Bombyx mori: one gene and its partner. The protein of the gene in region 1 purifies or fractionates together with the protein of each later gene. This does not show direct contact. Links are inferred from orthologs where the notes say so. Each region holds a gene or a part of one and is shown on either strand. Other genes may lie near its edges.

What was found.
Region 2: the proteins of nucleolar GTP-binding protein 1 (region 1) and mRNA turnover protein 4 homolog purify together in Homo sapiens (affinity purification with mass spectrometry; 3 studies listed by BioGRID and IntAct, counting the BioPlex papers as one, with this or other methods). This does not show direct contact. The link is inferred for Bombyx mori from reciprocal best matches to the Homo sapiens genes GTPBP4 and MRTO4.

The regions. Positions count from the first base shown.
Region 1 is NC_085108.1:531,321-535,611, forward strand, and holds the start of nucleolar GTP-binding protein 1, read left to right. Parts: upstream 1-1,197; 5' UTR 1,198-1,310; coding exon 1,311-1,358; intron 1,359-1,448; coding exon 1,449-1,601; intron 1,602-2,021; coding exon 2,022-2,143; intron 2,144-2,651; coding exon 2,652-2,787; intron 2,788-3,557; coding exon 3,558-3,659; intron 3,660-4,291. Other genes in the region: presequence protease, mitochondrial, read right to left, coding at 1-33. UniProt on the Homo sapiens protein: Involved in the biogenesis of the 60S ribosomal subunit. Acts as a TP53 repressor, preventing TP53 stabilization and cell cycle arrest.
Region 2 is NC_085111.1:7,659,620-7,664,185, reverse strand, and holds mRNA turnover protein 4 homolog, read left to right. Parts: upstream 1-1,446; 5' UTR 1,447-1,990; coding exon 1,991-2,018; intron 2,019-2,170; exon of another isoform or gene 2,171-2,253; intron 2,254-2,515; coding exon 2,516-2,760; intron 2,761-3,124; coding exon 3,125-3,373; intron 3,374-3,561; exon of another isoform or gene 3,562-3,704; intron 3,705-3,901; coding exon 3,902-4,117; 3' UTR 4,118-4,152; downstream 4,153-4,566. UniProt on the Homo sapiens protein: Component of the ribosome assembly machinery. Nuclear paralog of the ribosomal protein P0, it binds pre-60S subunits at an early stage of assembly in the nucleolus, and is replaced by P0 in cytoplasmic pre-60S subunits and mature 80S ribosomes.

The DNA of each region.
Region 1 (4,291 bases):
TTGCCGAAAACCATTGCGCAGTCTTGAATACATGGTTTGTTATTTGTGCTCTTTATATTCCTGGAACATATTTTCACTCACAGTTTTCGTGCTTATACAAATAATTGTTATTTTTCATTAATTCGTTAAAACAAAAAAATCCATGAATAGAAAGAACCTATTTAACAGTTTCAACAAAAATAGTATATTAAAAGAACTGTTTATTTTTTTAATTTTTGGGCATTTTCGAAAAACAAATGAAACATGATGCAATTTATTGATACTTACTGTTGAAGGATGCTGTTTTAAATCTCAATTAATAATCTTCGCAATTTTTTGTTTTCAGTTTTCTTATGTTACTGAATCCAGTTTAATAGTATTTATGTCTTTTAACTTTTTAATGTTAAAATTCAATTTCTGTTTTCTAACCTTACAAATTTACAGTCGGCTTATTGACAGTTTAGAATTGACAATGACGGCTTGTGACTTTTTTTTGTCACTCGGATAGGCGAAAGAAACATTGACGAACATCCTATACGACTATTAAATGTGAGCTAAACCCATGCCATGTAAGATAGATTATAGTGCTCAAGGATTTAAGAAAAAAATGTCTGACTAAAATGTTAGAAAAACTCGAAAAAGTCACGACTACTAATTTTTTATTCTGCAAATTTCTGCACTTTTATAGATACTAAACGGTTTTATAGGTTTATTTACTAACTTAAAATGTCGCTTTAAAAGAGTTTCTGTTTGAGAGTCACAGAACGTATTTACATTTACAAGTTAGTATGCTCACCGCGTGGCCATTCGATATTAATGAGTATTTAACAGTATAATTGAGAAGTAAATCCATTTTTTTGGGATAATCATTATTAATCCTTGTACTTGTACATTATCAGAATCAGTGTTTTTTTTGGATGTTTAAACATCCTGTATAGTAAAAGAGAAATAATGGGAAACTTGTTTTTTTAATGAAATTAACAATAAAGTCACAATCAGAGAAAAATAAATAAAAAACTGCTTGAAAAATAATTGACTGAAAATCTATTTAGCTCTTAGTAAATTCTCTTCGTTCTGGTCATTTCATTTCACCTACAGTTTTCTCTGATCTCATTTCTCTTATCTTCATTTAATACTTTCTTAAATTTATAACGCACTTTTCGGCCTTTGTTACAACATACTCACGTATAGGTTATATTTCTTTGCCTGTCCAACGAACAAATCAAATAAAAGGAAATCAGTATTGTCAAATATTCTTTTCAAACACGTGTTTACGTGTAATGCTCGTTATGAGCGATTATGATACTAAAATAGCACTAAATTAAAACAAAATGAGTTTGTACAACTTTAAAAAGATTGCTGTAGTCCCTACAGCTAAGGTAAGCGTATAACTGTATGAATCCCACAAATGTATTATGAAAACCATCATCTTATTGATAAGAATGTTAACCTCGAAATTTTGTTTTTAGGACTTTATAGACATAATTTTATCGAAAACACAAAGGAAAACTCCTACAGTCGTTCACAAGCATTATAAAATATCAAGAATACGTGGGTTTTATATTAGAAAAGTGAAATATACCCAGCAGAACTTCCACGACCGACTGTCCAGAATTATTCAGGTAAACAGCAACAGCGTTATAGTAATACGCAAAAGTAGCTACGTCACATCGAAAAAATAAATCTACAAATGTGTACATTTCCCAATTTTTTTCTAAATTTTTATTGTTCTTGGTTAAAATCTTAGTTTTCTAGAGACTCATACTGCTGGTGCCAGAACAATCTTAAAGAAATTTAAAGTTTCATTATTATTTTTTCACAAAACTATCTTCATTCTGATGTATGCTTCAACTCTCTTGAGTTTAGTTCTGATGCTTTTTCAAGACATTGTGTTACTTAAATTAAAAAGAAAATGTAAGAATAATCAAATCTCACAAGCTTCTGACTTGTTCATCTATTGAGCTGGGTATATTGATGTAACAGACTGACATATATCATAAATAAGTTATTAAACACATAGATTAATAAGATAATGTTTACAGGAATTCCCAAAGTTAGATGATGTCCATCCATTTTATGCTGATCTCATGAACGTATTGTACGACAAGGATCATTACAAACTTGGACTCGGACAGCTGAATACAGCCAGACATCTTATTGACAAGTAAGTCTCGATGATGTCACAAACTCTCATACAATATTAGTGTAAACCCATTTACAAATAAATTCCTTTAAAACTAACTTCGAAGGGCAGCCATTGTACTGTAGATAACTGAGACCTTAGAACTCATGTCTCTAGGTTGATGACGGCAGTTACACTTTAAATATCTTTGCGCTCCGGTAACCTCTTAACACCAGGTGGGCCATAATCTCATTCACTCTTCTAAGCAACAAAAAAATATATTAGTCAACTCTGACTAGAGATCTTTTACTAATTACCAATTATGTATTAAGCAGAATTAAAAATTTTTATTTTTTGATTACTAAATTTTTACCACACAATGTTTTTCCTTCACTGTGAAAGTCATTAGTGAACATTTGTGATGTGTGTTTCTCATTAGAAAAATTGTTCCTTGCTTCTGGGGTTCGAATACCAGCTCAGTCAGATCGTCTTATCTTTTAGGGCATGATTACTTCATATTTTATTCACATCCTTAATGCTTCATTTACAGTGTCGCAAAAGACTATGTGAGACTGTTAAAATATGGAGATTCGTTGTATCGGTGCAAACAGCTCAAACGTGCGGCTCTGGGTCGCATGGCCACCATCATGAAACGGCAAGGAGCTAATCTTACATACCTGGAACAGGTATGTCATACTTGTGATGATTCAACAATAAGTAGATTACAATCATAACGTTGCTGTCACATATTCTAGTAGTATTAAAGTGGTGTACTCAAAGGGGTTCATTCCAATATGAATGTTTCTTGCAGATATAGACAGTGTAACAATAGCATAGAGTAGCTTTTATAATTCTTCCAGATTTCATTTCTATGTACACTAGACGATGACCGATGACGTTTTTTTTTTATAAATTATGTTGTTTAGAAATTATATTTAAATACGAATCACATATTGATAGAATGATGAAATATCCCAAGCTCGTTTAGGCATTTTTAAGTGAACACGTGAGTTAAAAAGACAAATAATATAAATAAACAATTCATTTTCTTGGTCTAACCTTAAACCAAACACTCATTGGCTTCAGGTGGCTTAACAACGCTATCTGCTGAAATAGCTTTATTGTTATTGTGTCTTTAAAGCAGTTAGTTGCTGTAAATTATGAAAAATAGTACATATTATTATTCGCCAATAGATGTCGGGAAGAGTCATAAAGTTGATTATTGGTGAAGTTGATTATTGAAAACACGAATAAAACAACATTTTCTGAAAATAAATCGTAGCTAGATCGATTTATCGCCCCAGATTTTTATGAAAATCGTGGAGCCGTTTCCCAGATTCAAATTATATATAGGTATATACAAGAATTGCTCGTTTAAAGGTATAAGATAATTGTATTTAATGAATAAAAACCAAATACAACAATATTTTCTAATGTGGACTGTATTCTTTTGCAGGTCCGTCAACATTTAGCACGTTTACCATCGATAGATCCCTACACCAGGACGATAATCATCTGTGGATTCCCAAATGTCGGAAAATCAAGTTTTATTAATAAAGTAAGCAATGGAATTACTAATGATAAGACATGAGTCCCCTTGGATTTGCTTCTGTGCATTTGTACCATCAGTACCATCCAATATGAATACAGGCCTATCTCTCTTGATCACTGATATAGAGATCTATTTCAACAATTTAGTGTATTAGTGAGGGTGCTTGTTATCTTTTTAATTAAAAGATTGCTAAGTGCGGATTATATGAGTCGTCTATTATCAAAGGCGGCAATCTGTGCATTTGGACAAAAAAAATTTATTGATATGTCAATACAGATTTATTTGAATATAATCGTCTCCTTCAAAGAATACGGTTCAAAACCTGCATTAAATAAAGGTTAATAGTTATCCTGTTATTTATCTAAGATGTCGTTCCGAAGAGTTTTGTGACTGCCAATGGAATACAAAGTCAATAATTCGTTTTTCTGATTTACCAATCATTGTCCAAAAGTCAGATTGCCGCCTTTGATAATAGTCGACTCATATGAAGAAAGACACACAATGAACTGATTTATTACCCAACACATGTGCTTAAGTTCATTATTAAATAATAAACATTATCTATCGACCATTTTTATAGTAAAGATATATTTATTACTTAGTCAACCATACTAAATTTTACAGTATTAAGAGTAGTA
Region 2 (4,566 bases), on another chromosome or scaffold:
TTTAAGTTAAAAAAAAACCTTTTTTCTATTTCGTGAATTCGGTGAATGAGTCCACAACCCCAGATGATTCGGGTAGCCCTAGGTAACCTAAGGCTCTGGTAACTTTAGTGTAGTCAAAGTTTTAATAATTCTATTGGGTAAAAGCTGTCTCACCCTTGAAACGGCAAAAACAGGCAAGACGACGCCGCGTCGCGACGGTAATGCAGAATTTACATTTCGAAATTAGTGTCATGCATGTTGAACTCAGTTTCACGAAAGTAGTTTTGATATATTAATAGGCGAAAGTAATTTCGTTAAAAAATTAGTGTCGCGAAATCCACAGTATCGCAGTAAACATGGCGCCTTGAGCATCAAAGCTATATTTTGCTATATTCAATGTAGCTAAAGAAATGCTTATATACCTATAAACCTAAAAAAAGGCTATCCAGAAAAAAAAGACGTTGGTAGATTCGAGGATGGTTAACAAGAAGGCATTTAGGTGCAATGAAGTTAGTCTCTGAATTGGCAGATGAAGATCTTGAGAGCTATAAAAACTATTTTCGAATGAGTGAAGATAATTAATATAAGAAAGAGTAAAATTAATGTAACAACAAATGATATACCTAAGTACCTATGTGTGCATTAAACTGTAATAAAAAAAAAATATCTTTATTCCTCTTCGTTAATCTAACCATACTGTATTCAAATTAAATATAAAGATAAATCAAAGTCCCAGTGAGGATTTTAAATATGAATGTTACACAATCTAAAGCAGATTATATCAAAGCATAATAGTGATTAAAAATAAATTGATTTTATAAATAAAATAGCAAGGAAAATTAAATAGAACAAGAACTAAACTAATAAATTTAGATTCAGTTTATATTCAATTCTAAAACCATTACAGATCTATTTTCAGCATCGTTCAACTCTAAAAATGTCAGTCAACCTGTCAGGCCATAGATTATACACTGACAGGCGTCTCAAATATATTAAGTGTATAATCTATGCGTATCATGCTTTTAAATCATTACGAGACTTTTTTAGCGGGAACGCGAGCAGTGAAGTTGTGTGATTTGTTTTATTTTGTCTATTTAGTGTTTCTTCAGGTTTAAATGTGTAATAACGGTGGTTTATTAACTGTTTAATATCTGTGAAAGTGCACAAATGTGGGAAAATGAAACAAAGCTGCTGGACGTAACTTCTCGTGTTCCTCCAAAAAGTCCACTGAAAAAATCTCAGTAAATGACCACCATTTTACTGCGATTATATTTCATCCCATATCATCTCATTTCATTAAATTTCATCCCAGTTGATTAATGTCTCAAATTAATCATCTTCATTTCATTTCACTCCATATTATCATTTTTCATAAAATTAAGAATATAAAGTAAAATAAGACATGACTTAAAGGTCTCAGTTACCCGGTCATAAAAACTCTTAAAAAAAAAAAACATTACGAGACTTTTTGGCGGGAACGCGAGGAGTGAAGTTGTGTGATTTGTTTTATTTTGTCTACTTAGTGTTTCTTCAGGTTTAAATGTGTAATAACGGTGGTTTATTAACTGTTTAATATCTGTGAAAGTGCACAAATGTGGGAAAATGAAACAAAACCGCTGGACGCAACTTCTCGGGATCCTCCAAAAAGTCCACTGAAAAAATCTTAGTAAATGACCACCATTTTACTAAGATTATTTTTCATTCCATATCATCTCATTTCATTTAATTTCATCCCAGTTGATTAACGTCTCAAATTAATCATTTTCATTTCATTTCACTCCATATTATCATTTTTCATAAAAATAAAAATAAGAATATAAATTAAAATAAGATATGACTTAAAGGTCTTAGTTACCAGGTCATAAAATCACTTAAAAAAAATCATTACGAACTGTGATCACGAATATTAATTTACAACAAATCAACAAATCCAGTGCACGTGATTTTTGAAATTGCAGAACTAATTAAATTGTAAATTTTGTCTTTTCCATAATAAAATAATAAAACAAATATGCCGAAATCAAAAAGGGATAAGAAAGGTAAGTGACTTTTTAAAATCATACTTTAGCAGAGTGGCAATCACAGAACTTAGGGTTAAATTTGGTACCCTATGGCATTATTTGGATGTCAAAATAGATTGTATTCCGTAGATTTAATTTACGAATGCGACACTACAAAAAATCGTTCTAACCTTAAAATTGTCACCAAAAAGGGGTTAGGTGTGCTAGGAAAGTCTATTCTCTTTTCTAAAACTCCCAGAAGATAGTGAACAGCCTGTAAAGGTGATTAAAATATAAACAGCTTTCCATGCAGTATCATGCACATGTGAAACAAAACATCCAAGTTTCAAGTAATGATCAGTATCATAATAGCCTTCGCAAAATCCTTTTCATTTTCTGCCTTGAAATGAAAGTAAGCGAGTACTTAAGCAAATAAATCATTTTTAACCATTTGAATTACAATCATATAAATATAATAATTATTACAATTTCAGTGAAAAAAATCAGTATATCATACCTTAAATATTTGATTTCAGTATCACTTACAAAAACCAACAAAAAAGGTTTAGTACACAAACAAAAAGTCATAGAAGAAATAAGAAATTCACTGAGCAAATATGAACACATATTTTTGTTTACCATCAATAACATGAGAAATACAAAATTAAAGGACCTACGGAATGATTGGAAGGATTCCAGATTCTTTTTTGGAAAAAATAAAGTAATGGCTATTGCTCTTGGTAAGACCAAGAGTGATGAAATAGAAGAGCAACTAAATCTGGTGAGTGTATGTAGCTTAATTTAGTTTTGAGTAAAGCTGAATTGTGAAGACTGGATATCTATCATCAACAAAATATTTTAGAAGACTTTGACTTTGACTTACTTATTTCATCATCTTATATCTGGAGAACATAAATTATTAAATTGTGAACAATTTATAAGTATAATTTGAGAGAGAAACTACTAATTTGTCTTAGAAAATGGCATCCTGTCTAAATAATGTCTTCAAGCACTTCAATATTGAAAATTAATAAAGACAGTAAGAGTTAAAAGTAAAGCTATTGGATTTTTGTGACATCCAGCAATAATAAACTTCTATCATTTAGCGCATTAAATGTTTTAAATAAAGTTAATTTATGTTACAGTTATCAAAAAAATTAAAAGGTCAGTGTGGATTGCTAATGACAAATAGAGATGTGCCTGATGTACTGAACTGGTTTAAAAGTTATCAAGCATCAGAATATGCAAGAGCTGGCTTCATTGCAACAAAAGATGTTTTATTACCCAAAGGTCCTCTAGCAGATTTTTCACACACTATTGAGCCACATTTAAGACGTTTGGGCTTACCTACATCTCTAGAAAAAGGTGTTATCAATCTAATAAAAGAATATCAGGTAATGTGAAACACATAGTATTCACTAATATTTAGTTATTTTAATAGGTAACATTTGTGTTCATAGTGAGAGACCTGCTTAAAAACATCGATTAAAGTGAATGAATCAATAGACTTGAAACATATATGAATTTAAAAAATCATCAAGTTGTAGTAAAAGAAACCGGCGCTAGTCCACCAAACACTTACAAGTGACTTTTTCTGATTCAATTTCCGTTTAGGGCAGGATTTGGCTGGGTCTCCAGGGCTCAGCCATTGTGACGAGCGTTTCCGATTATCGTACAGTATCCACACTGGGGTTGTAACCCTTTCGGCCTCAACAACTCCAAAATCTATAAGAATTACCAAAATACAGACATTATATGTTGTACAGCAGTCAAGCACAACATTTTACTTAATTTCAAAATTTTGTAATTAGTTATGTGTTACTTAATACCTCAAAGTGTTGACATTATCGAAACATAATGTAGGCTGAAGTTTTAGTTACTGTGGTGTAAGTAATAATGGCAAATTCGTTTTGATTTTTTAGGTTTGCAAGAAAGGTGCTCCACTGACCCCAGAACAAGCAAGTATATTAAAATTGATAGGCATAGAAATGGCAGATTTTAAGTTAGTGATTAAATGTCACTGGACAAAAGGAAAAGGTATCCATATAGACAATGATTCTCCAAGTGATGAAGAACAGGCAGAGAATGATGATCATCAAGAAAATGTACTTGTAGACGAAATAATGGAAGAGACATAACTATTTTATTTAATCACAATAAATTATGTTAAGCATTACGTTTTTTTTACTAAGGTCAGGAATGATTTGTACATAATACTGCAAAATTACTTGCCAATTATCAATACTTCATTTTAAACTCAAGTGTAGGTTTTGCTTACATTTTTGTTTGGACTATCTTGTTTACTGTGCTAAATTTGAATTGTTAGGTACTACAAATAAAGTTATCCTAGATAATAAAAATCTTAAGAGAAGAACACTCTGGCACACCAGCCAGTCACTAACTTGTACAGGGTTAAACTATCCTTTATGGTCCGTCGATTATTGGGTCGGGGTGAGAGTGGGGGAGGGAGAGGGTAAGGGGTTTACCCTCTGCACCATCCCCACCCCGCGGAACCCCATGGTTACGGAGATATTCATGGTTAATGTTTTGAGGTTAGAATAGCACTAATTAGTAAAAATAGGATTAA